Rhinolophus ferrumequinum: one gene and its partners. The protein of the gene in region 2 interacts with the protein of the main gene of each other region in a biochemical or structural test. Links are inferred from orthologs where the notes say so. Each region holds a gene or a part of one and is shown on either strand. Other genes may lie near its edges. The genes, in order: RBL1, E2F1, SETD7 and PURA.

Region 1 (7,382 bases), about 2.5 Mb from region 2:
CTCTGGAAGCTCAGCTGCAGCTCGTTGTCTTCAATCTAGTTGTGGAGGCTGCAGCTCACTGGCCCATGGGGGAATCGAACCCACAACCCTGTTGTTCAGAACTCATGCTCTAACCAACTGAGCCATCTGGCTGCCCCCCTTTCTACCATTTTAGTTTTATGTTTCTTTTTTAACCAGTTTGGCAGAGAAAGGTAAGAACAGAATGGAATGATGACAAGGGAATCACACATAAAATATTAATCCTATCTTGCACAACATAAAAGACACTCATTTTTATGAGGTAAAAATTGGGGAAATTATTTACCCCAATCTTTAAAATGTTATAGTAAGTATAGATGTCTATCTTAGCAGATATCTCAATTTACAATGCTACAAAAAAAGGTGACATTTGGGAATTGAACACTTAATCCTCTGACATAGACTGGAGATATCTCCAAGCTAGAATCACTTCATGACTTCACTGCTGAACTATACGTGAAATTTAAGAGTTAGACACAAATCTCAGAGTAACAAATAACTGCTCCTATTACTGTTCCACAGATCCTCTTTAAGACTAGACTCTAGAAGGATAAAAAGATTGATAGATTTCTTGCAATAATCCGAAAGGGGTGGACAGAAATGGGTGGCCGCCAATAAAGTTAAACTAAAACCCAGTGTTCCTACATTAAAGTAGTGAGAAGTCTTATTTGCTCAAGGCATTAAATGAGGCAGGTAGTCTTAAGGCTGTATATTTTTAGAATCCTTGAGTAATGAATTATTTGGAACCAGTATCCAAGAATTATAGAGCCTTTGGATACACGCTACTAGATGAAAACAACATTAAGATAAAGAATATTTAAGTACTGGAATTACTTTTTCCCTATATTATTTATTCTAATTCCTTGATGCTAGATCTTAGAAATACAAACAGTTTCTGACCTCAGGGAACTCCAAGTCTAGAGCCAAGAAGAACAGATATTATTATCTATTATTGGTCAGATAGATGCTGTAAGAAATGAAAATAACGTGTTGTGGGAAAATACAGTGTAGTGAGTATAATTTTGACTAGAGGTCAGGGGAGGATTCACAGAGGGAGACTTAAAATTGGTAAGTGGTAAATCACCAAAATGTAAGGAGAGCAGGGGAAGAGCAAGGGAAAATGTATGCAGGAGATGGTCAGGTGGACTAGAGAGGCGTAGGGGCTGCAGGGAAGGGTTCTTACGAAGCAGCAGATATATGAAGATGCCTACTGCAAGAGTCTTCACCATAAAACAAACAAAAATGAAAAAAGAGAAAATAAAACACTGTGGATAGAATCAACACTCATGAAATCTTAATTCACACATATGGGCTTTCTAAATCGAAAATTTAAGAGGTCCTGATCAACTCTGCCTAACTGGAGATCTAGCTGTTCAATCTTCCCTGGAGTTGTGAGTGAGGGAAGTTTCCCAGTACAGGGAATGGCACGGAGAAAGCACACAAGTGGGAACGAGCTTGGCATATTCAAGAATCTGAAAGAGGTGCCTAGTTTAATGGCCTGACTACAGTTGGCACTCAGTAAAAGCTTATTCACTAAGAGACTAAGTGAGGACCTGGGATGTCAGAGATGCTTTCTCGGGCTTTTAAAAATCAGTTGTTTTCATTGAGACAATAATTCATAACCTTCCTTACTTTCTTATTCTTTCCCCAGCTTTCCAGTCACGTTCCCCATGGATGCAGATCACTGTCTTTTACCCAGTATATCTAGAGCTACTATGGAGACATCCAAGAGTCTTGGGTACTTTTCCCTTATATATAGACACGTACACTCAACTCCAAATTTCCAACTCTGCCTTTAAATCCATCAATTAATTATTTCACTGGGTGGTGAGTCAGTGGAGCACTCTACCTTTTGAGTCCGGCCCCCTAGGATCATGAAAGCCTTTGAATATAAGGCCACTGGATTCATTGCTGAAATACACTCAATCACAATTCTATCTGTACACTGGGCTTATGCTTGCCTTAATATTATTACCTGGAAAACAGGTGTAACACTCCTTTGCCATGTTCACAGGGCTATCGTGAGGACTAAACCCAAGAATGACTAGGAAAAATCTAATAATGATTGTCTACATTTATTTTATGTCATGGCCTGATATTGTGCGAAAGCATCAGGATAATCTAAGTATCCCCATCTGAGAGAGGAGGAACCTGGAGCTGAGAGGTAGCACTGTATGAATGCACATTGGTTTCAAAGTGAGTAACCCACACTTCCGCCCTAGGGAGGCGTAAGGGTGGAGAGGTTAAATGGCTCGGACTCCTTAGTCTGGCTCCACCACTAACCACGTGACCTTGGGCAAGTAACTTAACCTCTTTGGAGCTCAGCTTCTCATTGAGAGAATGGGGATCACAGAACGGGTTCAAGAGGTTGTAGCCAGAACTAAGTGAGATGACATACTTAAAGCGCTGGGCAGTGATGTCTTGGCACACAATTCATTTTAGCTTTTCTCATTATAGTATTTGGTTTTGTAATAGATTTAAACGCAGTAACGTGACGTTTGTGGCGCTTGGCAGGACGGGGGGAAGTCTGGTGTGGAGTCTATGGGACCCCCTGAGTGGCGTGTGACCTTGGGCAAACCCCTCCTTTTCCGGACTTCAGTTTCCCGCCTCACAAAAAAAAAAAAAAAAGGATAGCATGATCTGCACTCGCCCTTCCAGCTTCGCACTCTGCAGCGCCCGGCTGGGCGGCGACCCTTCTCGGTGGGGAAACTCCCACCGCCCCATAGGGTAGGGTAGGGTAGGGGCGGGGCGGAGGTGGGGCCTGGCGAGGGTCGAGCCCCGCCGTCCCACCTGCCGCCGCTCACCTCTAGGCTGTAGTTGCCCCGGATGGCGGTGAAGTCGTCCAGGGCTTCGGCCGCGCTTCCCTCGTCCAGGTTCAGCTCCTGGCACAGGGCCTGCAGCGCCTCCCCGGCCGCGGCGACCACCGTCGCCCCCTCCGCGTGGGGATTGTTCTGGAACATCCCCTCAGGCCCGGCGGGCGGCGCGATCACAGCCCCCGGCTCCTTTCTCCCTCTTGGGCGCCCTACCCACAACTACCCGCGCCAAAGCGCGCGAAAATCGGCCGTTTTAGAGCGACGTCTCTACGATAGTCTGCATCCGCGTTCTAGCCGAAAAAGTCCGTCTCTCCTCCAGGGCTCCCAGCGGTCCCTCTCAGGAAATGTGATTAGAAGACGGACCTCGGGTGCTGAAAAAAACCTGGTCTTGGCCCTCGGCAGGCAGCTGTGGGCACAGCTGGCAGGACAAATTGGGAGCGGAGGGATCAGCAGTCCGCGCGCAGAGTCTGTTGGGAGTTGTAGTCCATATGCTACCTCGAAGCCCGCGGCGCCACTCTTGTCTCCGCGGCTCTTGGGTGTGGGATAGGGCTGGGGCTATTACTAGGTGGCCTTGTTCATCTTAGGAAGAAGGCTCCTCTGTCCCGCCAACGCATGGGCCTGGTTTGTTACTGCTCTGCGGCGCCAAACAGTCTGAGACTTACCCCTTGTGTTAGAGATGGAGTAGGGAACCGAAAAAAGTGGTCCCTTGACAGCGGGGGAGTAGGGGGTGGGAATGGGGGGCTCGTTGGAGTCTCCTCAGTGACTCCAGCGCCCAGCGAGTGGTCTGTTGAATGACTGAAGGGTTGATGAGGCAAGGATGGTCGGAGACACCTCGCCATGTCTTGATCGCTAAATGAGGCTTGATCTGGACTAAGAGAAATGCAGTAAGGGGGACCTTTCTCAGCTCCCTGGGCCCTGGGAACCGTCCTGGTAAAGACAGTCTTTCCAGTATTAGGAATGGCCTGAGCATAAGCCTGAAGGCGTGGAACTGGTCTTGAAGCTTACCCTCTGCTCCACCAAAACCCCCTCTTCATGAAGAGCCCGAGTGATCTTTTTAAAGGTAAATCAGAGCACGTTAGTCCTTCACTCAAAATTCTTCAATAGGTTTGTCTTGCCTTTAAAATATCCAGGCTCCTTTGTATGGCCACAAGGCCCCATGTGATTTGGCCTCATTCATGTTCTCCGCTCCCTTCCCAGGTATGTAATAAGGTCCAACCTCACTGCTTTGTTTTGGAACCTTGAAAATGCCAAGCTACCAAGCTAAGTTCTTACGTTAAGGCCTTTGTCACACACTGATCAAACAGCCCCAGATACTCTACACCAGATCTTTGCTTGTCTGGCTTCTCCTCATTCAAGTTCAACTATTAATTGTGGCCTTCTCAGGCCATCTCTGAGCACCGTACCTAAAATAGCTGACCCTATCTCCAACCCCATTTGTCTTCATTGTACCTTATCACTATCTGAAATTATCTTGTGTATTCACTGGCTCTTCCTACTCAAATGTGAGTTGCATGAGAGCAGGGGCCTTCCTTTCATATTCACTATATTCCGAAGTTTAGACTAGCGCCTGGCTGGTAGTTGGTACTCAATACTTAGCATGTTGTATTTGAGAAATTACAAAGAGCCCATTGTTGCTTGGATGAGGGAAGAGGTCACCAGAGATGGAAATGGGACAGGGCAAGGTAGGTTGCAAAGCCCCTCATATGCTCCACTAAAAGCCTGGACATTATCAGTGAAGGTTTTAATGAAAGGTGATGATGAATGGTCGGTGTTTTGGACAGGTTCCTCTGGCTGCGGTGTGACACATGGATTGGGTGGGGTAGAGACTAGAGGTATGGAGATGGCAGAGGACTGGTCCAGTATACGCAGGAGCCAACCTGGAGACAGGTCTCTGGCCTAGAACTGAAGGGGGGCACTGCTGAAGAGGAAGGAGCCCCTGTAACACGTTTCCATCTGGGCCAAGAGGGTGAAAGGTGATGCTGTGAACTATAATGAGAGTGTAAGCAGAGGGATCAGACCAATTCTAGAACTGCTGTGTTTATGCTGCGTGCGGGAAGTTTAAGGAGAGACTGTTGGACTCTGGAAGGTGGCCCTTTGGGACTAGGGAACCAGCTGCAAGCTGGGTCTCCAATGAGTAAAAACTCAAACTCCCCCCAAAAACTCAAACTCAAACCCAACCACCCATGTGGCACGTCCAACTCTGCTCCCTTCTAGAAGCTACTGCAGTTGACTGTAGGACCATCTCATATTCTCTTGTCACATAGTGTCTGTAACAGACTCTCCTATGAGTTTTTGCTTAGAGGATTGGTTATGGGCAGTTGTAGGGAGGTCTATCTCCAGTGCCCAGGGGTCTGTAACGGGTTATCAATCCTCCTAACTTCCTTTCCGATCAGCAAAGAGATGTCAGGATTAGTGCAGGTGAGATGGATGCAAGTCCTCCTGCAGTGGTTCATTTGTTTCCTAATAAACCTACTGTACTTATTTAAGAAAGCATTCCAGGAGTGGGGACACAGACTAGACAGGGAGATTTTGGGAATATTCAGGCAGTACATGAAGCGAAGGGAGCAGGTTCGTATGAGGGAGTGTGATGGCATGAGAAAAGACTTAAGGGTGGAATTCAGAGATGGGCAGAATTTGGGGAGAAAATTTAAAAAAACCTGGCCAGAGAGGTATAAAAACAAGAGCAGTATTTCAGAGGTCAGGAAATAAGTCCAACATTGCAGAGAATTCACATAGGATGAGGAATTCAAAGACCTCATATATTATCATTCATATATTTTTAGTGACCTTTGCCAGAGCAGTTTTCTTTAGCCCACTGGGGCTGGAAGCCGTATTACTATCGCCAAGAGGCTAAGGGGAGGAAGGTCAGAAAGTTGAAGCAGGAAGTAAAAACTTCTCTTTAAGAAGTTTGGTGGAGGAGAGGCAAAGGGAAGGGTATTTTCTAGGATGGGGAAACACAAAAAAATGAGTCTTCCGTATGCAATCCTGGCTTTCACAGCGGGTCGTGGACAAGATCACAAGAGTTAAGAAGCCTCAGGTTTTTTTGCCTTTGCCATAACTAATCAATCTCTCTCTCTCTCTTTTTTTTTTTTTTCCAGATTTGAACTGCAGAGGGTGATTCTGGCCTTGAAAAGAAACCAATACAAAAGGAAATAGCTGTCAGGGATTATAAACCAACAAAACCAGGGACTCATCGCCCCATTTTTCATCTCTCTAAAGAGATGGTTTGGATTTCAGTGAGTTGCTGTATATGTATTATAGCCCATTTCTTCTCTGCTATTAGATTTCATCCTCCTGATTCTTTTCCCAGTTCACGCATACTAACTCCTAAAAAACATTTCTTCATTCCACAAATGTTTATTGAGTGCCTCCTGTGTGCAAGATACTGATTCTTCCTTTGCTGTTACTTTCAGATCATCCAGATACAAACTGAGGGGCATGGCTGGCTTGAAAATGATCCAAGAACAAAAGAAACAAACACCTCTCAAAGGTCATCCACCAAACAAACAAAAACTGAGAAACATTAAACATTATTCTTTTTTCTTCTCTTCCGGGCTGAATCTGGACTCTCAACTTGGACTTTGAATAAGTCATATCCTGTCTATGTAAAGTCTTGCATTTTCATCTCCCATCTCTTGATTCACCTGACCTGTTACCCTTTACATCCAATCACTTGCTTCTGTGGTTTTTTCCTTTTGCCATGTCGTCATTCTCAGACTGTCCTGAATTGAATTATTAGAAAGTATAGGCCTTGGAAGTGAAGCCAAAATAAAAGGAAAATACTCCTGAGTTCCCTTATTTCCTTTAAAGCAGAATTAAACAGTACTGGCTTCCTGCCCCCGCCCCCCTTTGGATGCTACCTGAACAATGTCATTAGTTTTCAATAAACAGTACTGCTACACTCACCAAAAAAAAAAAAAAAAACCCAGCCCATGCTGTCCTCTGTGTTATCACTGACACCCCGTTCCTTCATCCTCTACACTAAATCTTGTGGATTCCTCCTCCACCAGGTTTCTAGCTGTCTCAACATTTTATGTTTTCTCTTCCAACCCATTTTATATTTAGTTACTACTCTAGTTTTTCTCAAGCAGCATTTCTAGCATGTCACTTTCTCAAGACTCTTCAGGGGTTCATTATTACCAGTGCAATCAAATTTAGGCAGCTTAGCATTGAGGACACATCTGTCAGAGCCAGCCTCACTTGCATGCTTTCTTGTTTTCCTTTGGCCCTACCTTTTTTATCAGGGTTCACGTTGGTTTTTTTTTTCTTCTTAACATCCAGTGGCATGCCCATTTAGCACTAAGCTGAGCTTTTTTGACTAGAAAATGAAGTATGGGTAGTGAAATAGATTTTACTCTGCCTTCATGTCTGATCTAGATACATCACGAAGGTTGTTTCTATTTTGATCTCATTGTGTGATCCCTTCTATGATTAACCTCCCTATTGTGGTTTACTATTTCAGAGTTCCCCAGGGCCTGTATCCAGAACCTGATTAAGACTTTTTGAGACTCCAAGACTAAAAAGATTATACTGTACACTCTCCCAAATGTA
Region 2 (7,297 bases):
TCTTCTAGAGATCCCAGCACAGGGGCCCCGAAAGGCAGGGGTGAAGACACACAGAACACTAGTGAAAAAATCTGGATGACTCAAATGGGAGGGGGCTACAGAAACTGGTTCATCCAGACCCTGGAAGACCATGCAACTATCAAGGACTGAAGCAAATCGACACAGAATCCTCTCAAAGACATTGACAAAAACCACGTTGTTTTAGGGCAATGCATATATAAACCTTTTGGGTTAAAAAAAAGCACAAAAACCTTTTTTCCTATGATTCAGTTTCTATTATTATAGAATGTATTTCAGAGGTAATCTATGTGTGCAAGGGAGAACCGTGCGGATGGTACTGTTTGAACGTGGAAATAAATGAAAAAGTACAATTTTTGAAATTTTAGAAAACCAGCCATAACCACCTAAAAATAAAAATAGGTTTTAGGAAAACAGAAATAATGGGTGGGACTGGGAGCCTGCCCCCTTCACCTTTCTAGTCTATTTACTTTTTATAGTTATTATGTATTACACTTTTTTTGTTGTTGTTTTAGTAGCCGTAACAATAGAGTAGAGGTAGACAGGAAGGGCCAGGAGAAATGGCTGAATTGCAGAGCCTGTATGCAGGAGGTACTCAATGAATGCTCACTGGTACAGAAGCTGAGCCTATAGCTTTTTTCAGGGACTGCCCCAAACACCTGTGGACAGGTGAAGGCCATAGCTCATGTGGCCAGTGGTTACCCACAGGTACAAGAATTGGGGTTGCTGGAGGGGAAAATCTGGGCCCATTTTTCTGGACTTCAGCTCCAGGATGGTACCAGCTCCCACACCTGCCTGCTCACCTGTAGAAAATGCCCACTAGTGCTTAAGTACTGTGAAGGCAGAGGCCCCTTACTTGCCTTTGTGCCTACTACCTCGTGGGTACTCACTAAGTCAACTGTTAAATGAGTGGAGTGCTCAGGTCCTTTGAGGCTGCCCCGGACACCCCTCGGGGTGGAGTGGAGGGCATCCTTCCTCGACCCAGTCCTTGGCAGTCCCTCTGAACCTGGAGTTCAGCTCCCTGAGGGCAGGACCCAGCCTTGGGCCTGCTGAGTACATGTCAAGTCAGCTAAATGGAGGATATTTGTTCAGACCCCAAGATGGTAGCCGCAGGGTCAGGCCACTGGGGTATACGAGACAAGCCAAGGGACCAGACCCTGGTACAATTCCCACCCCCTCCGTCACTGATTAGGAGGAAGGGCCCCTGGACTTCCTTCAACCTCTCTTAGCATCTCCAGGAAGTAAGGCATCCCAACAGTTAGGTGCTCAGAAAATGTCTATTGGTCCCACCACTCACTAGCTAATGACTAGGGAAGGTTCCAACATCTCTAGGCCTCAGCTTCCCCATCTATAAAAGGGGAAGGCTGTTGAGAGGGTTAAATGAGTTAATTGGGTAAATGCTTGGCACAGAGCCTGACAAAGAAAACATCTCAAAACAATGGTGCTACTATTGTTGTTATTATTATTAGCATCTTGGTGATTCTGGAAGGGAGGAAGCACTGGGCACCGGGCCAAGGGAGTTAAGGGATGCTTCAGGGACCAGCTGCCACCTAGGCCCCCACCAGCAGTTGGGCCGCTTCCACCTCCTTGCCCTAGGCTCTGCCTCACCTCTCCTACTTGTTCCAAGCCTCCTGCTGAGACCCCAGCCTGCCTGTCCGTGCCCCACGTTCACCCACAGAAAAGGCCTGTCAAACTGGTCTCCCCACCCTGCCCTGCAGCCCACAGGTCCAAACTCCATCCTTTCTCCCCATGTAATTCAGCCACCTCTTCTGGCACCCCCAAATCTGAACTGATCTTGAGCCTCTTTTGCTCAAGGAGCACTTTCTCAAGACATCTCCCCAGGATGTTTACTCTCCCCTGGAACTGGAGACCTCTTCTCCAGCTTCCAGAGGCCAAGCCCACCAGTACCTCCACCGGAGCCCAGGGGTCTGCCAGCCTGATTAATGAGGTTCCATGACAACCAGGGCCTGGGAGGGTGGAGGGTGGCAGATGGAAGGACAGGCAGAGGGAGGGGACCAGCAGCTGGCCCAGCCACCCTGCCATTGCAGAGAAGACCTCCCAGCCAGGAGGCCTGTCCCCAGAGGCCCAGAGGCCCAGGGCTGCACCTGGCAGTGGAGCATCCAGATATGAAAAAGGGCCTCCTCAACGGCTCTTCAGCAGTCTGGCCCCAGGATGCCTCACTTCATCTCCCCAAGCTGCCATACCCATTACCTAGCCACAAGATCTGATGTAAAGCCAGCAGGCCTCAGTTAAAACCCCAGTCCCACCACCTGCAGAGGTGTGACCAAGAGGAAGTCACCTCCCCTCTCTGGGCCTCGGTTCAGATAGGCAGTGACACCAAGCTCACAGCAAGGTTGTGAGTTTTAGCTGCCTTGAAGTCGGCCAGAGGCCTGGCATGCAAGCAGCGCCAGTTGAATACACGTGGGCCATTATGATTACTGCGTCTGACCGGCTCCCGTGAGGAAGCTAAAGCCCACAGCAGAGGAGCAAACAGGGACTGGCCCGAGGTCACTCCGCACCCCGGGGAGGGGCCTGGAGACCCAACCCAGTCTGGGCACCGCCCAGCCCCGGCGCCTCAGCCCACCCCTCCCCCGCCCCAGCTGCCTCCCATCCCAAAACCGCGCCCCGCCCGGGTCTGCATGGGGGTCCAAGCAGCACATTCGGCCCAGTGTCCCTGGTGTCCGTACCGGCGGACGGCCGAGCGCGGGGCGCGGCGCGCTGGGTGTGGGCCGGGGCGCCTGCGGCGTGGCGAAGAGCAGCAGGTCGGGGTCGCAGGGACCCGCAGCGGGCGCTGCAGGGCCAGCGGGGGCCGGTGGGGCGCTGGCGTCCTGCGCCGTGGAGATGATGACGATCTGCGAGGAGTCGAGCAGCCGCAGCGCGCCGGCCCCGAGCAGGGCCTCCAGCGCCGGCGCGCATGGGCCGCCCGCGGGGGCCCCGGCCACGGCCATGGCGCTCACGGCCCGGGCGGCCCGGGTGGCAGGCGGCGGCGGCGGCGCGGGCCCATGGCGGCAGGCCGCGGCTAGGGCTTGATCCCGCTCCGGATCCCGCTCCGCCCCCGGCCGCCGCTGCCTGCAAAGTCCCGGCCACTTTTGCGCGCCAAATCCTTTTTGCCGCGAAAGAGCCACGAGCCGCCGAGCGCTGTCACTATTGGCTGTCCGGTCTGTGACGGAGGCGACGGCGACAGTGGCTATTGGGTACAGCGTGCCGGACCGGCAGTGAAGGGCGGGATGGGGCGTCGGTGCGAGTAAGCGCGGCCAATTGCGGGTCGGGGCGCGCGCAGGCTTTGTCGGGGCGGTGCCAAGAGCGTTCACACTCCCCGCCCCCAGGCGGGACTGCCCCTTTGCGAGGCGTGGTGGCCCCCGCTCCCACCTCGACACACCCCACCCGCTGATCTCTCTAGGAGATCTTTAGTACCGAATGTCCATTGTACGCATCTCACCGTCAGCGTACCTTACATGACCCCCAGACACCCTCCACACACCTGTAGCCCCAACGCCCTCAGCCCAGATCTCTAGAAACTGACCCTCTTTTCTAGGGTCTCAGGCCCATTTCCAAAGCCCTAGCCACATCTCCCATCGTCAGCTTGCCCCACTTTTATCATTTACTTTCAAATCCTATGCCCGCCCTATCACCCAGAACCCAAGCAGAAGGGGCCTCTCAGGAAATGGGGAGGGAAGTCTGGCCCATTACAGCTTGAGGTTTTCCTCCGAGCCCTCTTTCATCTTAGTAGCCAAATGCACAGCTTCTGCTTGAACTCATTCATTCATTCATTATTCATTCATTATTATACATTCATTCACCCAAGCGTGCATTCACTCATTCAACAAACGTTTTGAGAGCCTGCTCTGTGCCTCATTCTTAGTTCATACCCTGAAGGGCTCATAGTCTAGTGAACAAGGGAGAGGGAACAGAGAGGTAACACATGTTTGCAATATGATGAAGGATTTCCACCATTAAAATAACTCCATGTTAATCTCACAAAGGGAAGAGGTGAGGATGCTGAGCATGAAAATGTATTTCATAGTCCCTGGGATCTCTCCATCAGCCAATATCATTGCTCCGGTCAGCTGATTTGACCAATATTGTCCTCTGTGCCAGGCCTTGTGCCAGCACTGAAGGCAGAGATGTGTAAGACTTGATAATTTTAATGAACTTGCCTGCCACCTGGTGGGGATGTGCCACACACATAAAAAGTAGCTAAGACACAAACAAGAATCAAAGCGGTAGGCCCAGTATAAACATCACTTCCTCCAGAAAGCCCTCCAGAATTACTTCCTCTATTGCTGGATGCTGCCTCTGTTCCAGCACTGACCACACTCAGTTTCTCCATCTGCCTCCCCTACTAGACTGGGAACTCCAACAGGGCCTGAGCACAGCTGAAGCAGGTGCTGAGAGGAGTTATGAGAAAGGAAACAGGCTGATGATGCCAGAGGCTATTTAGAATGCAACAGGAGGCCCTGGTTCTCCAAGAGCCGTCTTAGGGTCCTGGTTTCAGACTCACCTGGGTGCTTGTTCACTTTGGGCCTAACCCCACCCCCTGCCCATTTAGTATCTCTACGTGCACATTTTCACAAGCAATCCTCCATCCCCATTCCAGGGGGTTTTTATGCACATTCACATTTGAGAACAAATTGGTATACCTGTATAACCAAAATGTGTGGTGATGCCTCAAATTACAGCCTCTTGACGACACTTCTCAGCTTCAGTTCCTCATCTGAGATAGGGATGAAAAGCATAAGGGATCTGAAAATGTTTTATGAACTATAAGGTGGTTCAGGAACACAGGAGTTTCCTAAACAGTTTGTGAAATTACTCACTGCAAATCCTAGACTGTCAGCACTAGGAGGGACCAGAGACTAGTAGCCTCTTGCTGTACAGATGGGAAAGTTGAGGCCCATGAGGGACCTGTAAGCCAGCCAGTGATAGAATTTGGCCTACACTGGATTACCAGCCCTGGGGTCAGCCTGTCCCCCTTCTCCTCCCCAGACAGAAAAGCTACCATTAGAATGGTAGGTCTCATTTGAAAAAATCAAGCCAGACCCTGACAGAGGGTGAGAGAAATCAGCAACATTCCTGTTCCAGATGGACTTTCTTTTCTTTACATCTTCCCAAAGAGTCTCCATAACAATAATATTCACTTCATAAAGCACTCTCATACCCAACAGCCATTCAACGAACATTTATTGAGCACCTGTCACGTGCCAAGCACTATACTGGTTGCTGGAGAAGGAAGACATTGTTATTTTTATCAATTTAATGATGGGGAAACTGAGGCCCAAAGGGCATGAGCTTACCTAGCAGATGAAAAGGCTATTGTTTGGGCTTGGAGAGGCCAAAGCCAGAGGTTTTCCAAAGTCCTGTCCTCCCCAAAATATTCAAGTACACAACCTCCCAGGTAGAAGCAGGTGCCGTCCTTCCCACAATCCTTCCTGTCCTGCTCAGCGGAAAGGAGTGAAGACCAGAATTCCGAGTGTGCAATCAAGGAAGAGATAAGGGCCTTCTGTATTTATTAATACCCACTTGAAAGCAGCAAAGGCCTGACTGATGGGGCCCCTTGGCCCCAAGCCTGGCCAATCTCGATAACGTTGTTCTCTGTGTCAAAAGTTCTCCTCAGGCTGGTAGGTTTTCAAAAAATCCACACTTACTGGGCAGCCACTTTGATTGATGAGCTCCTTTTAACCTGAGAATCCCATAAGTGAAGCTTGTTTATCAACGTTGTGCAGGAAGGAGGCTCAGAGAGGGGCACTTGAAGTTCAAGGTCACACAGCAGAAGTGAGATGGGAACTTAGCCTGTTCCGCTGCAAAACCCAGGGCCTGCTCTTTATACCCCACCACCTTCTGTAAATACCCCAAGAGCCAAGCTCAGGAGGCTCAGGGCTGTCAAGATTATAATGTGTGCTTTCCAAAAGGTATTATAATGTATATTGGCTTAATTAGTAGATGTTTACCCCCATTACTACCTACACCAACTCCTTACTTTAGAGGAGTCCAAAGCGGTGGAAGCTCCTGAGCCCATGATCCTTTGCCTGGAGATATCTTTCCCTTAATTCTTTCCAAGAGGCAGGATGGTGTAAACGTGATAGTATGTGCTTGTAAATCAGGGGGATATAAATAGGAACCTTGGTCTGTGTGACCTTGGACAAGTCAATTCACTTCCTCTGAGCCTCATTCATTCCACAGATATTTGTTGAATACCTCCTATGTGTGAGGCATTATACTAGGTGCTAGGGAGACAGCTGGAAGCAAAACAGACTTATCTCTGATACCTGGAGCTCATAGTCCAGTGGAAGAGTCAGAATTATTTCTATGGACCTGCGCAATATGTTCGTTAAGTCTGACAAATGACACAATAATTCAAAGCTCTTTATTCCACATACATTCTTAGCTTCAGGGGAAAAACAATCTCCGAACATGAACATCCCATCATTATGAATGCATAATTGGGAGAAATTCTGCGGTGACTTAATTTTATTAAGGGGCACAGAGACATCCATTGTTGAGTTCAGGAAGTTTTATGTCTGCAACATCACATTTGTCTCAAATGATCCTTCGTTGCTACACTAAATTCTCTGCTTGACTGACGGTTTACTGTCCCTGGAGATATTGTCACCATGCCAGTTCTGGCTGTATCTGAACACAGACCACTTACCCATCTGATAGGCCGTCTATCATAGGAGTAAGCCTTGGGAGTCAGGCAGACCCCAACTGTGTAGCTTGGCTAGATGACTTTGAGTAAGTGATTTACCCTCTTGAAGAGCTTTGCTTGCCCCATCCGTAGAACAAGGGGCAAAGGCTCCTTTACAGGATGGGTCTCAGGGTTGAATGAGAAAAGAGGACAAACAGAGTTCGCAAACTGGCCAACATGTATGATTTAATTTGCCCACGGAGTATTTTTTTCTGAATTATGAATTAGTTAAGAAAATTTTTAATTTAGAAATGCTATACAAAAATTCAAATATCTGGCTTTCTTTTAAAACCGTAACATCTGGCAATATCATATTTCCCCAAAAATAAGACCTAGCTGAACAATCTGCTCTAATGCGTCTTTTGGAGCAAAAATTAATGTAAGACTCGGTTTTATATTATAATATAATACAAGTGCTTGGCCGTCAGTCGGTCAGTATGTTTAGCGGGATGTGGGCCAGAGAGTCTTATTTTACTATAAGACCGTGTATATTATATTATACCCGGTCTTCTAGTAAAATAAGATCGGGTCTTATGTTAATTTTTGCTCCAAAAGACACATTAGAATTGATTATCTAATTTTGGGGGAAACGGT
Region 3 (7,086 bases), on a different chromosome or scaffold from region 2:
TTTCACCCACACTCCCCAACCCCCTTTCCCTCTGGTAATCACTGATCCGTTCTCTGTATCTGTGAGTTTGTTTTTGTTTTACCAGTATAGGTATTAATAGTGATCCCTCTCATTCTCAGGCATATTCTGATTTTGGACAATCATGTATATAGTCACCCTATATAACAGAACATTCCTTGTTTATATAAAGAATGGTGTCTGTTTCTACAAATTAGACAAGCTCAAAAACAACACTGAGATACATTTCTAAAGTTGCTTGTCCACGTTCTACAAGGAGCTTGAGGACCATGGACAACTGGGCTTTCTATTTCTAGGCAGCTTCAAAGGGGAAAGTAGTTTAACCTGGGGAGCACTCCCCATGCTCAAGGGTTTGCATTAAATTTTCACAAGCTCAAGTAGAAGTACCCTTTGAAGAATGAGAGAAAGCCCTGACAACTTGAGAAGAGCATTTTTTCATTTATCTTGCACAACATGAAGGCACAAGAAGTCAATAACTTAAATTGCAAGAAGGCTTTCAATGGACGGACTCCATCAATGTCTTTGGGACCCAGCAAGCCCCAGCACTGGCTTTACTTATTAGAGAATTCACAACATTGTGAAATTAAAACAACAACAAACACTCTTTGAAGATGGACAAAGAAATAAGTTTTAATAGTTACATTATAATGGATACCTTTCAGAGAATTCAGAAATATTATTCTACTTAATCTCATCCTAAGACCTCTGGAGCGCTGCTGAAGAAGAGTCAATTATGTTTTATGAAAACATAAAAATGGATTTCTTTTCCCAATGTAGCCATAATTACGTATCTTTATGTATTTGTACGGTGTTGCTACTTTGTTTCTCTTTACCGTTTATGAGAAATTGTTTATACAAATGAGGTAGAAACGAGATTCAACCAAAAGCTAAAAATTGTTTACTTAGATGCTTAAAGTATTCTGGAATAATACCATACAATATTGCAAAACATCACGACGTACTGTCTGGGTAGAATCAAATAAATAAATACGCTAAAGAGTATCTTCCAGTATTCACTGTTACAAAATCATAACATCTCATGATACAAACAACGAGATTGTATAACGTCCCCACCTCGCTTTTTAGAACTAGCAAAAAAAGAGGTGGAGAAACTCAGCAAAACAAAGTGCGAGAAAAGTCGGGGGAGGGGCGCTAGAAGAGAAGGGGCGGAGAAACACGACACCCAGGCGGTGATATCACCCACAGCCAACTGCATGGAATTCAGAAAGTTAAGTGTCACCCAGCAATGTCGGTCCGGGCTTGCGGCGCGCCTGCACAGCGTGGCGGCGGCCCCCGGCTCGGAAGCAGGAAGGGGGAGGGGGCGGTGTGACTGAGTTCGCTTGGGGACAGCAAAGGGGAGGGCCACCCGCTCCCTGTCTGCGCACGTTCAATCCCCGGGTCGGGAGTATCGTCCCTTGCCCTGCAATGATTTCATCTTTTCGGAGGAGCGGCCGCTCGGGCCGCGGCTGCCACGTGCCAGGTTCGGTACCATGCGCTGCGCGGGCGGTGGGGGGGAGGCCCACCCGGCCGCAGCCGTGGTCACGGTGATTCGCAGGGGCCAGAAGAAGGAAAGGGCTGGCGGCGGGAGAGGGGATCGGGGTTGCCAAAAGCTGGCGGAGGCATTGCTCCGCGGAGACCACGGTTCTCAAAGCACTGTCCTGCTGCGCACCCCCACCTTCCATCCCCGAAAGGGGGAAGAGTGCAGGGCAGGTTTCGAAACTCCTAGGATGGGATGCAGGCTGTGGCCGGCGGGATGGAGCCGCCGTGCCCTACTGGGGACCCCGTCGCCGCGGAGCCCGCTTCCCGGCCTGCGCCCCGCCGCTCCATGCGCGCTCCCGGCTGCGTGGCGGTGGCTGTCCAGCCCCTGCCGGAGCCGGGCCACCCGTGCAGGGTACAGTGGCGGCCGCGGGGCTCGGCGCAGCGCCGCTCACAGCCCTGCACTCCTTCCGCGTTCCGAGCCCTCGGCGCCTCCTCCCCCGGACCCAGAGAAATGTTTGTACCTTCCACCGCCTCCTCCACCATCTCGTCGTCGCTATCCATGGCGCCTGGGGACCCTGCCCAGCTCGGGGCCGCGCGGCTGCCTCCCGTCCCTCCGGGTGCTCGGGCGGCTGGGCGAGCGCTGGGGCTGAACCCTGCGAGTTTGGAGGAGGAGGAAGAGGAGGAGCAGTCGGGGCTGGCTCGCACTGCCTCCCCCTACAGCCCTTTCAATTCCTTGGCCTTCAGCTGCCGCTGCCGCAGCCGACCCCCTTCCCTTCGCCTACTTGCCCCTCTCCTCCGAGGCTCCGGGGTGCCGCCGAGGCCGCCGCCGCCGCAACTTTCTCCTGTAATACCCCCTCTTTGTTAGCGAGCAGCTGATCCGCTGACATCACCCGGAGCCGGTGCGCTCCCTCCCTCGCTGATTGACAGTTCCCTGTCCCTTCCCAGAAGTAAGGCTCCTTAAAACGAAAGGCGCTCGGAGTCCGCGTTGCCTCTGCGCCCCAGCCAACCAGCCCCCGGGCCCATCAGGGTTTCTGCTTGGCTTCTTGGCAGCTCTGTGAGCTCCGAGCGCACCATGCGGTCCTGGGCGCCGCGGGCCTCTCGTGGGCACTTGGGACCACCGGGTACCGACCCTCGGGGGGCCCTGCACTCCTGACCTCCAGCTGTGCCCGGGCAACTTGGAAGTCCATCGCGCGGTGCCCACCAGCCACCAGCCCCCACCCCCACGTCGGGACAGCCTCCAAAGAACAAGGGACGCTGACAGTGTTTCTGACGCTCCTGCGCCTCGACTTCCTCTCGCCCACGTCCTCACTTCACCCCGTTTGCCACCCGGAGCTGCACAAGTGCGGCACGCACGGGAATGCAGGTGTCCCCATGTCGCCGCATCACATACGCGAGCATGTTTCCCAGACTCCAGGGGGTGACATCCAGTCCTGATTCCGCGGGACTGCGGCTCCCACCCCAGCGCATCGCGTTCCCGCCCTCCTCCGGACCGCCAGGCGTCTCGGTGATTCAGAAATTCAAGTCCAAACGGCTGCGGACTCTTTATCAGGCAGGAAACTGGCTGCACGGAAGGCCCGCAGGTTCCTCCTCGCTGTGTGGTCATAGAAAAGGAGCCACCGAGTGGAGCTGATGAGGAAGGACCCTCCGTCTGGTGCGCCTCCTGGCACCTCCCGCACCGTTCCTGTGATGTCCCCAGCTGTTACCCTGTTTCTCCAAGTGCCAACCACTCCATAAATTCAGGCTTTTCAAGCGGACAATATCACGGGGCACCCGATTCCCGGCCCTGCCACTTAGTGTCATTGTGGCGCTGCCTCTTACAGGTGGCATAAAGGGTGGCTGTAAATAGCTGGTTAAATGGATGCAAATGTACACAGTGTACCGTGGAATTACCGGGTGCCGCTCTGGACATCTGCCAAGAACAGCTACTGCGCGAGGGAGGGGCAGGAGGGAGCAAAGAAAGTTGTTTGATTTTGTTTTCCGAACAACGAATGAGGCTTTGAAGATTGCAAAGAACTTCTAGCACCAGGGAGACCGCACCTTGCTTTTGGCTCTGTATTTAAATGCCAGGTATTATGAATTTCTTCTTACATTCAATTTTCCTCTGTGAAGAAAAGAACAGTGGTAGGGACATTTGTCCCATACACTGCCAGGAATTTCAATCCCTTTTGACTGTTTTAGAAAGACAGGGAAGGGTGGTGGATTATGAGTTGGGAGACTGGTGCTGCTCACCTGCTCTGCCAGCCTATTCCTCCCCCAGGAGATAAAAGGCTGAGGCTACACTGGGATAAGATCCCTCTGGCTTGGGCTGGACCACTCAGAGGGCCTCCAGTTTGGTCTACACCTCTCTGAACTCTTCTGGCTTAAGTTGAGCCTCCTTGAAGCCCTCCAGTGCAGATACCTGGGTGCCAAAGCGGCACAGAGGAGGTGTTTCTCGCAGTGGAAGATGGATGCAAGAGCCGCACAGGTCACATCATTTTCACACAGGAACCACAGAAATGGGGTTTTATTTTTGACTGGGGAAAAAAAAAGCCATCATGTACTGAGCTTGGTCACTCACTGGTTTTGAGTTATATGCTATTTTTTTATTTTCCTTTTTTGAACATATCATCTCCTCCCTTATATATTACACTGACATACAAAAACACAGCAGACACACATCTTCCCCAGTTTCCAGTTTATTTTCAGGGGCAAAAAAGAATTTTTTGAAAGCAAACAGGAAGCAAAAATAATTTATTCCTTTACTAAAAGAAGGCTAAGGGAAGGGAAATGTAGGTTGGAAGAAATCTCTCCTGAAAACACACAGGTGAGCCACAGATACACAAGTTCATGGTGGGTGAGTATGTGGGGCTGGAGGCAAGAATCACGTCCTAAATGCCCGGCCCCTATGTCTCGGTTCCAAAGGGTTGTCTAGCCATCCGGTTGGGCCCATGAGGGTTTCCCAGCCTGTACCGCACACCCAAACTGTCAACTGCTTCCTTTCCACCTGCTGCCCTAAGAGCACTGGGAGCCCAGCCTGCATCCCCGAAGCGCGCCTCCTCCGGACCAGTAATGGGTGGGCAAGGGAAGCCGCCAGGGTCTTCCTGCCAGGACAGGCAGTGACGGGGCTGAAAGCTCCGGGAGAACCTCCATCAGATTGCACGTGAGGCAGGCAGCAGCCAACACACAGTCCTGCCTCCTTTAACCCCCATTCATTCCTGCTGGCTCTGGGCCCCAAATTTAGGCAAAATGTTTTTATGACTCCCTGAAGATACATTTGCATTTTTGCAAATCGTTTTAGGTATGTGTTCAATCTCCTTCTCTAGACGGACTGGTTGTTATTTACATCCCTACAGCCCAACACAGTGCCTGGTACAGAATGAGGGTTAGGCAATGTCAGCGGTGATTTTGCAGAGAGGAATATTCTGTTGTAGATAACCAGTGCTGAGTCTCTCTCTCACATACGGGATCCTCTGCCTGTGTTGGCAATGTGCTTTGTTTCAGCTCAAGTCGGAAGAGTTTTTGAGGTGTTCTACTTTCCCACATCTACTGGCCCCAAATCTGCTTCCACCACATTCTTCCCCACAGTTTTCTTCATTGAGAGCTCATTTCATAAGCCCTCTTTCCTCTTGGCTTCCCGCCATTCTCCTCTGTCGTACTCTGTCCCTACCGATGTGGTCCTGGGCTAGAAAATCAATAAAGCTCTTAATCACAGTGGGTAGCTGCAGCAGCTGCGTGGCTCAGGGCCTAACTCAGCAGATCAATGTGCCAGAACCAGCCCTCGCTGGGAGCGCAGGGACCACACAGCACCCCACGTGGGACCTGCTTCCACGCTCACACCTTGGAGTGGCTTTTTCTAAGCTGTCTGGCTTGCTTCCTTTGCACCCAAGGACATATCCCTCCTTTCCACCCTCAGCTTGGGAAACGTAAATCCCTCTTCCACTGCAGCAAGCAATCAAAATACTGAGTTCTTTTATTCATTTTTATCATCCATGTCTTTCCCCAGAGAAGGCGGGGGCTTACTTATAAGATGATATAACTTTTACAGTAAATGTATTTTTATAGGTATCTTGTATTTCATACACTTTCCTACATTTAGGGGAAACCATTCTGTCAATTCACCACTATGCGCACTTGCAAATTGGGAAAAATCTAATGGATGTGGAACTCTGCAGCATTCCCTAGTGCGGGCTGTGCCTGACCCCGCACCCTGCCCTGATGGTAGAGGCTGCGGGGGCCCAGGCAGTCTTCCCAGCCTCCCCGATCCTGGAAGGCAAGGAGCTCTCCAGGTGTCCTGTGGATCTCTGGCTGGTGTCTCCGTTCTGCTTTGCTTGTTTACACTGCTGGCCGGAAGACAAGGACGGAATGAGTGAAAGAACTCTTAGATAATCATAAGAGCTCACGCCTTAACAAAATTTTTTCCCCCACCAAATTCGCCAATTTGATTGAGTTTTCACCCTGTTTGTTTTGATTCCTCCAAGAACTAGCCATGCAACTGGTCAGTGAAGCTCTCTGGACCTTAGTTTTTTCATCTGGAAGTGAGGAAGGAGGTTGGGCTCAAACCTTCTCTGTCCACCTTTCCTGGAGAAAAGCTAAATAGAGCCTGGAGAGTCCCGGGGACATGCACAGGAAAAGGAAAGGGGAAACTACCATACTCAAGTCCCCCAGTCATCTCAATGCGATGGCACTGAGACCTGGGCACCAGGAGGGACTTCATCTTACTCTAGGAAGAGAGGCATGGGCCTTTCAGGAGAGCGACGGTCCTTGGGTTCTGAAGCACTGAGTCACAAATCAAGCGGCTAACTATGTTGGTGACTAGTGCAGAAGCAGGAAGGAGGGGCAGGGAAAGGAGCAGCAAGGAGAAGGGCACGGGGGAGGAGATGTGGATGTAAGAGGCGTTTACAGCTTGTGGAGCCCAGGGGAGCAACGGGGAACAAGGGCACCAAACAAAGGTCCGGGAGCAAAGGAAGAGGTGGAGAAAATACATTCTGCTGGAAATAGACATGACTGCAGTCGTGAAGAGCACTCAGGAATTCAGAGTGACCTGATTTGATTACAGCAACAGGAAGTGCAGGAAAGAGACAGGGCAGAATAACCTGACCTGAGGAAGTGAATTAAATAATAGAGACGACATCAGAGTTGCCATGGCATTAAAATACCTCATGCCACATTAAGCTTCTTTTTTCTCTCTTGCTTGATTCTTGTTCTAGCAACATGTTAATGTCATTATAGTCTAACCAGTAAACTAAATTTAGACACTTCAGGGCATGGAGGAATGGAAGACGCAGCCCAAATCTCCCTGTATGGGTCCACTCCGGGCGAATGTTCTCCGTTCACAGAAGGCCTGGTTCTTTTGGTCTTTGCATGATGGGATATGAAAAGCCTTATCAGGCTGGGGTCTGGTGAAGCTGCTGAGTGATGCAATTTGAAAAACAAAACTGAAAAAATTGGAAACGATTTTTAAAGAGGCCACTGCTTTGGAAACTCAGACAAATCCACAGGATGCAGAAAATTTGAAAAATACAGCTACCATCAAAACCAAATGTGTTTATTTTTAACGTTAGTATTAATTTATTTTTTTGATTTTTAAAAAATTATTTTACTGAGCTATCA
Region 4 (7,086 bases), on a different chromosome or scaffold from region 2:
CCTACTTTTTAAATGTATCTAAAAAGCAAACAAGGCTAATAATACCTTTACCAAAATAATCCAATTATAAATTGAACATTTAGTACATTGTTAAACAAGAGAGTTAATTTCAGGATAAGCCTGTAAATCTGGGCTTTTGGTCAGACTGGGGGCAGGGGTGAAAGGCAGATTTCCCTAGACTATAGAATACAAGAGCCTTAAAAGGCAGTCTGAGAAGAATGAATATTGACTCAGAGAAAGTCTTAAAACAAAAAGTTTAGAACACTAAATAGAATTTCAAAGTTAGATTTGCATCCTAACATTGAAAATCCATTAGAAAATTTGTGGATTTAAAATAACTTCCAACCGTTTGTTAACTTCCTAAACAATATACTAACCTGGTAAATGAAATGCCAGTTCTAGTGTCTAGCTGTTTGAATATATTATTTTAAAACAAACAGTTGTAAAATTAAATGTAAAATTTCAATACAATGTAGAAAACACGAAGAGAAAACGAAAAATATTAATATGCAGCAAAATATTCGTATTAATGAAAAATAAAATATTCCCTTTCTCCTCAAAGTTTGCTTACATTTTTAAACATGATAAATGTCTCTAGATTTCTTGTGCTCTTTTATTAACACTACACACACAATTTGAAGAGAACAGAGATTGCTTTATTGTTAATCCCATTATCTCTATGTCTTTAACAAGCTCTTACCAACAAAAAATTGTTCGCAAGTGAAACAGACATTAGCCAGAACAAGAAGGAAAAACGCCTCAATTTTCCTCAGCCTGTACTACAGGTGATTCTGAAACAATCTAATTCAGCTTTGGTTTTTAAAAGTAAAAATTAGCACACACATTTATAAAATAATCTTGGAGAGAGGAAATCTACCTCTGGGTAATAATAAACCCTTTTGATTATAGTGTTCCCAACAGAAACAATATGCTGATAACATTTCACAAAATCGCAGATTTCCAAAATAAAAGAGAAGCAAGAACATTAGAACTTGTGTTTTCTAGTGCTGCTTAGGTTAAATGCTTGTCTTAAACCAGACAGACAATTATCTTCAATATCCAAATCATTAAAACTAACTGGAATGTAATACTGCAATTGTTCAAAGTGGAGGAATTACCCCTTTCTTCTCATGGCTATCTACCAGGAAAATTAAGGGAAAGTCTCAAGTAAATCTTAACATTTAACAACAACAAAGACTAATAGTAATAATATTTCACAAATCATTTTTTAAACAGCATATCCCCTTTCTATAGCTCACCTAATCTTTTAAATTATGCTTCCTCAATGCTATTTTAATGTTTAGGGTTAAAGATATGAATTAAACATTTAAAATCTGAAGAGAATAATTCATGTGATAGAATCCTCGCATTTCACAAAATGTTTTCATTTTAAGCATTTGTAGAAGAGTTAAATAAACGTAGTACACATTCTAAATTCAATAAAAGATTCAGAAAACCCGACATTTTATGTACCCCAAAGGTCCAAAGCGAACCGATGCAAATGTCAATAGTTTTTTCTCTTCCGGCTGATACTTAAATGGTTTTACTAGTACCCAAAGGAATGAAATCAGCAACTCTCTCCACACTCGAGTCAACACTCTAATTTTCAAAGCCGCAATTCGCAAACGTCAGTTTGGGTGGGGAACAGGGGGGTCTTGAAGTCATCAAAAAATTCCTTTTCTCCTCTGACAGTCTACCAAAAGATGTCAAACCAAATTCAGCCTATTGTAAAGCACTGGGACCTCCCTTCCAAGGACACAGGACACAAACATAGACGCCGCTGCAAAAAGCTGTCCAAAAGCGCCCGGCCCGACAGAAACGTTAAAGGGTCCAGATAAGAACGAAAATTAGAACCCTCAAGAGGGTCCCGCAGAGACAGCGGAAATGAACGTGGCATTTATTCAGGGGTAGACAGCAACGAACCAAAAAAAGTTGCCCCAGTCGGACTCTTGGGCCTTTTTTTAATCCAAGTTCAGGCTCAAAGCAGATGTATTTGTGGGGGGTCCCTTCCCCTACAGACATTTCAGCCACCTCTGGGGCCCACTATCGCTTAACGGGAAGCCCCATCTAGCTTCGCATCCATTCCTTTTGCCCCCGGACAAAGGCAGAGGAGGCTGTTGAGCTGACCTAGCTCTGTGGGGCGGCAAAAATGCCTTGTCCAGGCCACCCATCCTTGGGCCTGGCTTCATCTGCGATGTCAGCATCAATGTATTATTTTTTATTTTTACAAAGCATCCTGGGCGGGTATATGCATTGCGGGAGGGGCGGGGGGTTGAACACAGGAGAGAAGGGGTTGGTAGTGGAGTCTAGAATCCTCCTTCCTCTCCCCTCCTGCCAGGGTTGCTGTGCAGGGAGTGTCGGCCACGTTTGGCGCACTGTCCCAGGCCCCTGGCGAAGGTGGCCAGGGGAAATGAGGCTTAGGGATTGCTAAACAAACGGCACCACTGGTGGTCTCCAGCGCCTGCGGAGGTAGAATTATCTTTTTTTTTTTTAAGGGGCGTGTGATTTTGTTCTTATTTGGAGGTGGGAGGGAGTTCGTCTGTTCGTGCGCTACGGGGTGGGGGGGCGTTACTGCACTGCCAGGGTCCCCGGAGGGAGTGCGGGGATGTCTACAATGATACAGTAATTACTCCTGGGGCGTAAGAGGGCAATTAGAGGGGACGGGGTGGGCGGCACCTGAAGCTGTGGCAGTGGCAGCAGGGAAGGTCGCGAGGGGCTTACCCGGGCGGGCGGGCGCTGTCCTGCCGCAGGTGAGGGAGGGCGCGCGCTGGGCAGGCGCGAGGAAGGGGGGAGGGGAGGAGGGCGCGCGCGCGCACACCTGTCCTGGACAGCGGCGCGAGCCGAGCTGCGCCTCACTCGGGCTCTGCTGGCTGAAGAGGGAGGAGGGCGGGCTGGCAGGCGGGGGCGGGACGCCGAGGGGAGGAGGAGGAGGCGGCTCCGATGGCTGGCTCGGCTCTCGCTCGTTCTCCCTCCCGCGGGCAAGCCCCGCTCACCCCCTGCTTCTCCCGCTCACTCACAGCCCCTTTGGCTCTCCCTCCTCCTCCTCCTTCCCCTGCGGGATCCGCTCGCCGCCACCGTCGCCGCCGCAGACGGCAAGTCGTGGCAGCCAGACGTCGGCGCGTAACCCGGCGCTCCGTGCGTGACTCCGGGCGACGTCAGCGCGCGCTCAGCGCTACCCACCATTTTCCCCCCCACCCTCCCTCCGTGGCTCGCGCCCTCCGCCCTCGCGTCCCTCCGTTTCAGTTGCCGCGGCGGCGGCCGCCGAGCGCGCTCCCTCCGCCCCCATCTCGCGCGTGCGCGCGTCCTCTCCGCCGTTGGCGCGTCAACAGCCAGCGGCCCAGGCCTTGAGGCGCGTCTGAGGAGGGGGCTGCCTGCAGCTCTCTCAGCGCGCACTTCCTCCACCCGCAGCCGGTAGCGGCCCCTGGAGGACTTATCCCTCCTTGGGCCTTGAAGGCCAAAGTCAAGCTCAGGCGGGGATAGGACCCTGTAGGGCCTGCGTCAGCTCCAATTTAGGGCCCTTAGCGTCGTTGTCGTTGCCGTTACCGCCGCGTCACACTAACCCTACCCCCTCCCCCGTCCCCCGCTCCTCCCTCCCACCCGCGTTCCGCCAGCATATCAGGAGGCAATAGGCTTTTCATCTCCCGCGAAGGTCTCACCTTGGTCTTCAGACGTCTGTCGAGAGGGGCTAGAAGGGCATAATTAGCATAAAGAAGAAAGTGGCTAGACCTCGTTCAGGCTCTAGCCCCAGGAATCCTTGACAGGAAGCGTGGGGTTGCTGCCCAGCCTCCCACGCAGTGTAGGTGAAACTGGGCCCCTTTGAGGGACTGCGACTAAGGACAAAACCCTGATAAATATTATTGATGCGCCCTTGGGCTGACAGGGAGAAAGTAAAAGGGACGAGTTAATTTTCATAAATTATGCAAAGGTGAAATGCAGAACTATAAAATGCCGTTTAAGAGTTGTCTTGAAATCTTACCAAGTTTGACAAGATTTTGGTGCACGGTAACTTTTTTCCTCGCTTTATATGCTGTTACATCTCCATCCTGCAAGACTGTGAACATAGAAGGTGGATCAGTTAAAAATTATCGGCTGCAAAATAAATAGAAAACTGCCTTCACCATCTTTATCATTTAAAAAATGTCAGAGGAGTCAATCTGTGATTTAGGAAAACTTAATCACTGTCCCAACTTACTTAACTGAGTATATTTTATTTTGAAGTTTCTTTTCAATACACCGTTAAGATACACTTTTATTAGGCAATAGTAGACTTTTAAACTTATTTATAGGCTCTTTCCCAAGAAGCCTACCTAGTTAAGCCTGGGAGGCAAGTAGGAGAAAAGTGAAATTAACCCCATTTTATAGATGAGAAAATTGAGTTACAAAAATATAAGTCAGTTGTTCAGAGTTGCAAGGAGTCTGTAACTGATAGAGGGAAAAACACCTTAGGTTTATTATCACCTACTTCATCCACTAAACCAGAAATCCCCAATTGTTTATTTCCAGGTATCTTTTGAGGCTCCCCCAACCCCCTCAATGAATGGTAGGCAGTGCCTAATATCTGAGAGAAACAAATTCTCACCCTAGCTAGAGGTGAGAAAATTTTTGAGAAGGGCTTAAGAATGATGGGTCATTTCCTTTGAATTGCTTCTTCATTCACCTCATCTTTAGGTGGCAGCACTACTATATAATATCTTTAAAACTACAGTCTTCTGCAACTTGATATCCTAAAGAGTGTTTTGTCTTAAATGCTTCCAACTAAATTTTGGAGATTAGAAGCTGGTGAAAATACGAAATCATATCTGAGAATTAGAATACTTAGGAGGTTCTAGAGGAGGAATAGAAAGGCTTTCAGAGAAATTATTATTAATAAAATACATGGAGCTGCTGAGGGAAAAGATAAATCCCCCCCAAAAAAAGCCTTTTCTAGCTGTATGAAGAGCAAGTAGCATCTTTACTATAAATCTGATCTCTTATTGAAACAGCACAAGATAACCAAGCTGCAGTTTCTCAATACTGCGTATTTATCAAGCATTTACAAGTTTAAAGTTGCTAGTTGTGTAGTTACCAGTACTCTAACTACAATTTTAAAATTTGTGTGCAGTTTTCCTCATTAAACTGCATCAAGCTTATGAAGATCCCAAATAGGATCTTATTGTTGACCCTTGTGGAAAAGGACTCTTCTTGGCTCCTTTCCTCACTTCCTAAATTGTTTATATGCAAAGTAAACCATCACTCAAACTCAGAAAAGTGAGAAGACAAGCTAAACCAAATGTAAGATGATAGCAATTTATAGATATTCTATATCTCAATTTCACATTTCTTGAGGATAATAAATTGTGATACATGGGGGTTATTTGGTTCAAATGTTTTCTAAGTAGAACTTTGTCATAACTAATTTTGTATATTTACAGCAGTTATCAATGTGCCCCTTTATCCAAGCAACCAAACAGAATTGAATTTCAAAATAGACTTCATTATATTTACAGCATAAACATAACCATCAAGGAATATAGAAGTATGACCATCCGGAGTGGGAAATCAAATTATATCTGGATAGAGGGTGAAGTCTTTATAAAGTCTTGATGTCAGCTTCCGTCTTTCTTGAGTCAAATTTGGAAAAGGAGTCTCAAGTAAATTGGTAGAACTCAAACTCAGCAGTGTTATGTTAAGATTTTAAAGCTCTCTGGTGCCAGCAAATCATGCAGCCTGTGGGCCTTGGATCCAAACTTCTGCCAACTCCATTTTGGCAGTAAAGTATTCTGTTGAACAAAGTTTGCACGTGTTTGGGGTGTGAAGTGGTTCCTCAGGCATTTATGTGGTTTTATTCCAGTTTGGGGATTTGAGCACGAGGATCAGGAGCATGAGACTTGTATAGTTCGTATGTGCCCTGAAACAGACTATACTAGTGATCTTGAATTTTCACTTAAACGCGGACAGCATTTTCTTTATTGGTGTAGGAGTTACTGAAGTGATCCTTTAGTTTACTCGTTAAATGCTAACATGATGTTGCACCAATTCTCAAAAGCAAGTAAGTAGGACCCTCTCTCCTGAGGGTATAGAGCTGTGGAAAATCACTCCTCATCTTCCTACCCACAATACCACCTAAATGTGTTTATCCAGATGGAACTCACTAAATAATAATACCCAACTTGAGAGCAAAGGAGCCACTAATTATTAAAACTTGATCTTATTTTCAGATTTTATATAACTATGAGTCTTTTATCTTTTTTGGTATCAGTTGTCTGACTTCTTTTTTAACCACCTCCTCCCATCCTGAAGTAATTTGGCTAAGAAACAACACTGGCCAGATGTATGGACTGATTTGTCTTATTTCAGGGGTCCCTCTTCCTGAGGGAAACATATACAGTCTCAATTTCCATTTATTTTGGGGAGAGATCACAGAATAAGAATTTATTATCAGAGCACCGGTGGTCTGAGAAGGCAGTGAGTTAACACCTCCAAAAACTGCCTTAATATCCTTTTTTTTTCCTTCAAGTAATTCTAATAGAAAATCCTTGCATAATCTGGGGTAACACAGTTTGAAAACCATTAAAGTGCTTTTGTAGCAATGTTTTGGAGTTTTGGCTTTTATTTTCCTGGTTTATGAGTAATGGCATGAAAACAAGTGCAAAAGTAACAGACGTTGATACGATACCACTGTCTTAACTTCAACAATGATCAGTGGAATGTCAATTTATAGCACGGCATGGTGATTTGAAAATGGTAGTTATTCTTGATATTTTTGCCAAGAGTGTGGCCTAAATTCTTATTTGTGCCTTTCCATTTTCTTTCCTTCTCTTTAAAAGTAATTCCCAAGTCACAGCTAATATATGGATGAGGTTAGAGATGGAAAGGAAAGCTCGGCCTTCCCAAAGAGTAGATCTATCTGGACTGGAAAATATTATTGAATGTTGTTGCATATTGGTATGGTGACTCCCAAATTCCTTTGATTGCTTTCTTTAGAATATCAGTTGTATTGTCACTTCACTACCTGGAGGCAGAATACATACATACGTAAGTCTTAAACTGGTGCAAAAGTAATTGTGATTTTTGCAATTGTTTTTAGCCTTTTAAACCGCAATTACT

What was found.
Region 1: the proteins of E2F1 (region 2) and RBL1 form a complex in vitro, tested with the Homo sapiens proteins (2 studies listed by BioGRID). The link is inferred for Rhinolophus ferrumequinum from reciprocal best matches to the Homo sapiens genes E2F1 and RBL1.
Region 3: of the proteins of E2F1 (region 2) and SETD7, one has a biochemical effect on the other in vitro, tested with the Homo sapiens proteins (3 studies listed by BioGRID). The link is inferred for Rhinolophus ferrumequinum from reciprocal best matches to the Homo sapiens genes E2F1 and SETD7.
Region 4: the proteins of E2F1 (region 2) and PURA form a complex in vitro, tested with the Homo sapiens proteins (2 studies listed by BioGRID). The link is inferred for Rhinolophus ferrumequinum from reciprocal best matches to the Homo sapiens genes E2F1 and PURA.

What each region holds. Positions count from the first base shown.
Region 1 is NC_046306.1:18,788,303-18,795,684, reverse strand, and holds the start of RBL1 (retinoblastoma-like protein 1), read right to left. Parts: upstream 3,106-7,382; 5' UTR 2,979-3,105; coding exon 2,823-2,978; intron 1-2,822. UniProt on the Homo sapiens protein: Key regulator of entry into cell division. Directly involved in heterochromatin formation by maintaining overall chromatin structure and, in particular, that of constitutive heterochromatin by stabilizing histone methylation.
Region 2 is NC_046306.1:21,284,187-21,291,483, reverse strand, and holds the start of E2F1 (transcription factor E2F1), read right to left. Parts: upstream 3,113-7,297; 5' UTR 2,967-3,112; coding exon 2,706-2,966; intron 1-2,705. UniProt on the Homo sapiens protein: Transcription activator that binds DNA cooperatively with DP proteins through the E2 recognition site, 5'-TTTC[CG]CGC-3' found in the promoter region of a number of genes whose products are involved in cell cycle regulation or in DNA replication.
Region 3 is NC_046301.1:15,387,275-15,394,360, forward strand, and holds the start of SETD7 (histone-lysine N-methyltransferase SETD7), read right to left. Parts: upstream 3,063-7,086; 5' UTR 2,922-3,062; coding exon 2,888-2,921; intron 2,870-2,887; exon of another isoform or gene 2,851-2,869; intron 2,832-2,850; exon of another isoform or gene 2,280-2,831; intron 2,151-2,279; coding exon 2,019-2,150; intron 1-2,018. UniProt on the Homo sapiens protein: Histone methyltransferase that specifically monomethylates 'Lys-4' of histone H3. H3 'Lys-4' methylation represents a specific tag for epigenetic transcriptional activation.
Region 4 is NC_046307.1:14,771,957-14,779,042, reverse strand, and holds the start of PURA (transcriptional activator protein Pur-alpha), read right to left. Parts: upstream 3,111-7,086; 5' UTR 2,722-3,110; intron 1-2,721. UniProt on the Homo sapiens protein: This is a probable transcription activator that specifically binds the purine-rich single strand of the PUR element located upstream of the MYC gene. May play a role in the initiation of DNA replication and in recombination.